Oryzias latipes: one gene and its partner. The protein of the gene in region 1 purifies or fractionates together with the protein of each later gene. This does not show direct contact. Links are inferred from orthologs where the notes say so. Each region holds a gene or a part of one and is shown in the gene's direction. Other genes may lie near its edges.

Region 1 (3,522 bases):
GGTGATGGGGAGTCAGCTACAGGCCTACTCCAAGGTAAAGTCACCTTCTCAGGTTCTCCTCTGTAAAAAGGTGAGGCACAGAAGTTCTCATTCATGTCTGGAACTCCTGCAGTCCCAGACGGAGGAGGGGATGCGGAAAGAGCTTTTGGCTCTTCAGGAGGACAAACACAACTATGAGACGACGGCCAAGGAGTCTCTGAGGAGAGTCCTGCAGGAGAAGATCGAGGTGGTCAGGAAGCTCTCCGAAGTGGAGGTGGGACCCTTTGAGGAGTTGTTTGTCCCTTCAGGCTGATGGATTCAGTACCGGTGAACCCAACGCGTGATCTCCTCTGCAGCGCTCGCTCAGCAACACGGAAGATGAGTGCACCCACCTGAAGGAGATGTCTGAGAGGGGTCAGGAGGAGCTGAGGGAGCTCGCCAATAAGTACAACGCCGCTGTCAACGAAATAAAAGAGCTCACCGACAAAATCAAGGTGAGGCCTTGTGCGTTTACTCTGAAAGGTTCGATTCCCGCCCCTCTACATTTGTGCAGTAACACCCGATCGTCTTCTTTCCTTTAGGTGGCGGAGGGCCGGCAGGAGGAGCTGACCCAACGAGGAGAGACGGAGAAGAGGGAGCTGGAAATGAAGATAGAGGAGATGGAGGAGAAGGAGCAGGTTCTCCAGGCTCGCATCGAAGCTCTGCAGGCAGACAACGACTTCACCAACGAGAGACTTGCTGCTCTTCAGGGTACGTCTGGGTCACGTCTAAACGCCGTTTGCTCCCTGAAGCCTTCCACTGCTGCTTCATTGCATATAAACGGAGGACCGAGCCGACGCCTTTGTTCGGTTCCACCTCAGCTGTCGGTTCCTCGCAGAAGGCCGACTGGAGCTGCTGCAGGTCCAGCTGAACGTTCTCTTTCTGCTGTTGTTGTTGTTGTTGTTTACAGCGCGGTTAGAGCAGCTGCAGGAGAAAAGCGGTAAAGAAAACAACAGTCTGGGTGAGTCCACGTCCCGCTGGTCCGCTCTGGGACTGCTGTGTCTGTGGGGTTAATCAGCCTGAGCTGCACTAACGATGCATGAAACGTCCTGCATGGTCTGTCTGTGCACTTCCTGCTGTCGCTCTTTTCTCCTCGTTGAGTTTTTTTTATGATCTTTCAGTGGTTGACTCATTCACACAACATTGTATTGTTGTCCATAAACGCAAAAAGATTTTTTTCCATTTTAATTACCTAATTAACTTGTAGTTTAAGGCGGAAATGTCACACAATGTGAATCCAGCTGAGGGAAAGTTTATCTATTTCCTCCTGAATGACCTGCATCAGAAATACCTGCACTAGAGCTGCTGCTGACGGTGAAGCGACCCAACAGTTTCCACTCTATATTATCTAATTTAGATGTTTTATGTACTTAGTTTAATTCATTTAATCGTTGGTCTATTAGCGTTACACTTAAACCTCCTGTTGTGACAAACTGATGTTTGTTTCTGTCTCAATTACAAAGGCAGTAACTGAACCATTGTATTTTATAAAATGCTGACGTCACCTTAAATATGACAAACTGGAATAGATTCAAAGTGTAACAATTGTTTGTTTTTCCTTTCAAAATGGGTCAATTTACCCAAAGCATAAGAGATTTTATAGTTTTCTCTTTAACTTTGTTCTTCTGGCTCTGGGTGTTGTGACAGAAGTCTTAAAGCAATAAAGTCCATAAAAACATCAAAAATCCTTTAATTTTACATTTAAAAGAGTAAAAATGTCCTCTGTGCTCCAGAAAAACGGACGTAAACACAGAAAATGATCACTCCTGAGGTGGATTTCATTCCTTCATGAGTTCCTGCTTCGTGTTCCTGTCTGTTAGAATGACTGTGGGTTCTCTGTGGAACGCCCAGTCGCATCGCTATGCGCTATGCTAGGATGCTAGGATGCTAGCTGCAGGTCCTGGTTCTGACCTGGACCCGTCTGGTTTCATAAGGAGCTGGTGTGTTTTTCTGGGCTTTGTTCTGGCGGTTCTGTCAGGTGAATTTTGGGCTTCTTGGTTAATTCAGAGCTTTTCCAAACCGATCACTGCTTTGGTTCCTTTTTCCGGGGGGAGGAGCTTGAGGACACTGATTTCTGCACTAAAGGAGTCCTGAAGGTCTCGCTCTTCTTCATCAACGGGCTTCACAGTCTGTCTTCTGCATGTCTGGCTGATGAAGGTTCCATGTGTATATCTGATCTGGTCACATGACAGAGGTGGCCCTCGTCCCTCCCGGAGCTGCAGGGGAGCCCGTGGAAGACCTAGCGGACGAAGACCACGATGAGCCGGATACAGACACCGAGGAGGGGGCAGTTCACGAAGATGAAGATGTTATTGGTAGTCTATCTCAACTGTTTCCTTAATTTCTTCTTCCCAAAGACAGACGATCAAATGTTTGTTCGATGCAGAGCTGAAACCTCAGAACGCGTCTGGCCTGAGACCAGGTCTTCCTCGATCAGGACATGTGCAAGAACTGAAATGCTGGATCCAGATCCATCTGGGAGCCACTTTTCTGGTCCGTCTGAGGAGCACGTCTCCAGATAACTGGTCTGCAGCGCTGTGGCCTGCTTCACGCATCAGTGTCCCACGTTCTGAGCTGTCTCTGGTGAAATGAGACGTAAACGCAGCGTCTCGACTGGAAACTCTGTGTGTGTGTGGCTGAACCTGCTTTCAGCCGCCTCACACACTCGCGATGCGGTCTGCGCCGCTGCAGCCGCTGCAGTCTCCTCACATGCGTCCTGGAGGAGAGTTCACTGATGTTTCTTCAGGTTCAAACCAATGTTGGAAAGGGAGAGCGGGTTTGTAGATGTTTCTCTACACCATGAACCGACCTCTGACCCGAGAAGGTTTGGTGTCTTCTCTCCGCCGCTGTCGAGTCTCATCCGTCTGTTGTTGATCTTTAGATCAGCTTGAATGAAACCTCGTAATTGTCCTTCGTCCGATGCTGGTTTAAAACTTTGTGCTGCGGCATCTTTGAAGGTTTGGTCCAAAATCTTTACAAATGTGGATCGCTCGTTTTCTGAGCATCATCTGCTGCAGTTTGTTGTTCGGTCAGTTTCCATCTCAAGGTTTAGGAGAACACCAACGGCTCCTTCAGCTCCTGGGTTTTTCCATTTCAGCTTTCACATCAATCTAGTCCTGCTTTGGAATGAAGTCCATGTTGGGTCTCAGTTTCTTCTCGGGTTAGGAGCTTTACTCTCTCACAGTTGTCATTTCTAACCCGTTTTATTGTGCCGTCTGCAACATCATCTTCCCGTCAGCATCTTCCGTTCACTCATTGGGTGCAGCAGCTCTGAGATCTGGTGCAGTTTGAGTTTCCTTCGGCTCTGATGTTGTTCCGTCTCCATCTTGCTGCTGTTTCTCACCTGCTGATGCTTGGTGGGGTGTTGCATAGCAGCGTGTTTGACTCCATCCTTCACCTGTCCTGTTGTTCTGGTCTGTGACACGTCTGCCTGCTTCCTCTGTGTCCGTCTCAGGCCTTCCCTGCCGTCTTCTTACCGGACGTTAAGTTAGGAGCAAACGCAGC
Region 2 (3,248 bases), on another chromosome or scaffold:
CAGGTTGATAACGTGATCTGTCAAAGAGTGTTATTTAGGTGTCACCGGTGACGTTTGGTGGTAAAGGGTTAACAACTGCAGTTTTTAAAGAAAAGGTCCTGAGTACCATCAAATAATTTAAGAGAAAATATTTGGCAAAGTGTACAAATAGCAAATTGTTTGCAGTTATTTGTCTTCAATGTTTTAACTCTAGTTTCCATAAATGTTTATACTCTTTTTTTTTTTTTTTTTTTTTTTTTTTTTTTTTTTTTTTTTTTTGGTACAAAGCGTAAAAAATGGCCAAACCCGTTTTAGTAACAAAGGGCTTCTTCCAACTTCCCAGGGAATCCAACCGCCCAACAGCCCATCCGTCCAGCCTTCATGGACTACTTTGACAAGCAGGACTCCAACAAGGCAACCCAACAGCAAGAGAACTACAACCACAACCAGCTGCAGGAGCCGTCCGGCTACCACATCCAATCCAAAAACGTCTTTCCAGACAACTGGAAAGTTCCTCAGGATGGAGACTTTGACTTTGTGAGTTTCTCAGGTGTATTATTCCCCATTAAAAAAAACCTCATAAATATCGGGCTCCATGATTTTAAAAGGGCACAACAAGTCAAGTGTTCTTACAGTTTATTGCTGTTTTTTTGTTTTGTTTTTTTGGTCAACCAGTTGAAGAACCTGGACTTTGAAGAGCTGCAGCTGCGCCTGAGTGCCTTAGATCCCATGATGGAGCGAGAGATTGAGGAGCTGAGACAGCGCTACACTGCCAAACGCCAGCCTATCTTGGATGCAATGGATGCTAAAAAGAGAAGACAGCAGAACTTCTGAGGGTTTCTGGCCGTCGTGTGTTCCAAACCAGCATGAAACTTTAGATCCAGCGACAGTGGAGTCGAACTCCCTCTGCTGTCCAGACTAAATGCTAACTTGTCTTTGAATGAAGTTGGGATTCTTTCTGTCCATTTAGTTAACGAATTTCCCTTTCAGCAGGCGGATGTAGTTTGGAAAAAAGACAATTGTGTTCTGTGGAGCTGATTCTGGCTGAAAAGAGAAGTAACTCTAGGCCTCTTGACACCCGAGAGTCTTGAACAGAACTTCCTGTTTTCAGTTGCATGCCTAGTACAAAATGAAGTGATCCACTTATATGTCTATTTGATTTGTCAAATGTAAATATAGAGCCTTGCTTAAACGAACCTGCATTTAAAGCTGTGGAGCTTCGTCCATGACCAAAGATGAAACAAAATGAGGAAGCTGATAAAGCCTTAACATTTTTAAATTGAATCTGTCTTTAGTTTCACCAATTTGCTCTCTTGTAGATAAGTGGGAAGAAAACTGCTGAAGCAGCAAATCTTTATTAGGATGAACACAAATATAGAAGAATCATAAAAGTTTTTTTTGTTTTTGTTTTTTTTAGGTCTGAAAAAGACACCAAGTATGTCAGTGCCTCTTGAACCACTTTTCCCAGGTTACTATCAATCTTTAAAGTGACAACTTTAAAGACATGAAAATGAGAAGCAATGGTATGTACTATAGTTTCTAGGTAATCACATGATGGGATGATTTCAGTGTCATGTTTGAGCTTTTTCCTGTTGTGGGACTGGATCCTTCACATCAGGGCTGCTCAGCTGTGTTTCTAGACATCTACCACGAATTCTTCTCTATTCACTGCTGACTACCTGCGTTGAGGATTTGCAGGTTCTGATTGGCTGGATTCACCTGATCCAGATAATTGACAGTGGACACGAGCAGAGCCGTGGATCTCAAAGACCTGGATTGTTCAACCCTCCTTTACTTCAATAATGGGTTCAATGACCTAAACAGAGCTGTAGCAACGGTTCTATTACTGTGGTCGTAAACAAACAGGATACGAAAAAAAACATTGCTTTTGTTTTTATTTCTTTTTTTTTTTTTTCAGGATAACTTTAGATTTCAACAATAATACACAAGTGTGTTCTCGACTTGATGTGTTATCCATTGACTGAATTCCTGCTATGTATGTCTTGTGTGCTTTTAAATACATCTCTTATAACCTGAAAACTATATAGCTTTTTATTTGCTTCCTAGGAATTGTCAGGTAAGTTTATTTGAAGATTACATTTCTAATGACCAAGTAGACATTGGAAAGGCTTCATACAGACAACCTGGCGTGTGACTATTTTCATATCACGGAGCCATTGACCCATTCATTTTCACAGAAAATGCTTTCTAGTGTCTAATATTAAGGAATTATTTAATCTAATTTATGCTTTTTTTTATTCAAATCATAACTCGATTGAATGCACAGCATATCTGTCGTTTGTTGTTCCACATGAATGTGATGTGACTGTTTTTGAACTGTTACACGTCTCTCTGGCTTTCTGAAGCGGCTGTTTATGTACACAACCAATGCTGTAAAATAACCCCGTGTTCTTCGTTTTCATGACATAGAATACGACTACATTGGATTTGAAGTCTACTCACTATGTTTAGAGTGAAAGCATGTTGTACAGAAAGCATAGTAAGAAGTACTGCAATTACATTTTGTTTTTCTAATTAAAGGTTTGCTCCAAAATATTAAAAAAAGAAAATGATGTCCTAAAGTTTTGGCTGGGACGTACTGTTTAAAATTACTTTTTTTTTATTACCAAGCTTTATTAACGTTGTCATTTTCCTTTTGTGCTGATATAGGGGTGTAGAGCCTATGAAGAATTTACATTTCAACTGCTTATTTATTATATTTTGTTTGCAATAGCTTTATGATGTAATAAAAGTTAAAAAAAAAGTTTATGAAGAACTGTTTACTGAATTTAGGTTTTATACATTTTTTCAATTCTAATCAACATATTTGATACAGCCCAGTTTTCTTTTCTTTTTTAATGTAGATAAATCTGCAATAATTTAATTACAAAAAATCTATATTTACTTATGAAAGTTGCTATCTTTTGGAAATATAACATCTGAACATGGCTGCCTTTCTACAACAGAAATTAAACACATCAGCAATTTTTTCCCATGTCTGCAAAAGGTCCATATTTGAAGTGATTTTCCTCCTCTGTCCAGCTCATCTCAAACCATGGCTACTCCAGGTTTAATATCTTGTTTTTTCTTCTTCAGGTTATTAGAGATTAGTTCGGATTAGTGTTTTAGATCAATATTTTTCTATAGGATGAATCAAATTTCCCTGCAAATGCCCCATCAAACATGCAGCTTTAGGTCTCCTCTTGATTTGGGCTGACTGGTTACTACAACTTTTAAACTGTGCTTGAAGCAGTGATCCATGTGACGCC

The links.
Region 2: the proteins of slmap (region 1) and serine/threonine-protein kinase 3 purify together in Homo sapiens (affinity purification with western blotting; 3 studies listed by BioGRID and IntAct, with this or other methods). This does not show direct contact. The link is inferred for Oryzias latipes from reciprocal best matches to the Homo sapiens genes SLMAP and STK3.

Annotation. Positions count from the first base shown.
Region 1 is NC_019863.2:32,508,840-32,512,361, reverse strand, and holds part of slmap (sarcolemmal membrane-associated protein), read left to right. Parts: coding exon 1-34; intron 35-112; coding exon 113-253; intron 254-335; coding exon 336-473; intron 474-560; coding exon 561-729; intron 730-928; coding exon 929-979; intron 980-2,210; coding exon 2,211-2,333; intron 2,334-3,522. UniProt on the Homo sapiens protein: Associates with the striatin-interacting phosphatase and kinase (STRIPAK) core complex, forming the extended (SIKE1:SLMAP)STRIPAK complex.
Region 2 is NC_019869.2:24,043,243-24,046,490, reverse strand, and holds the end of serine/threonine-protein kinase 3, read left to right. Parts: intron 1-322; coding exon 323-516; intron 517-654; coding exon 655-813; 3' UTR 814-2,743; downstream 2,744-3,248. UniProt on the Homo sapiens protein: Stress-activated, pro-apoptotic kinase which, following caspase-cleavage, enters the nucleus and induces chromatin condensation followed by internucleosomal DNA fragmentation.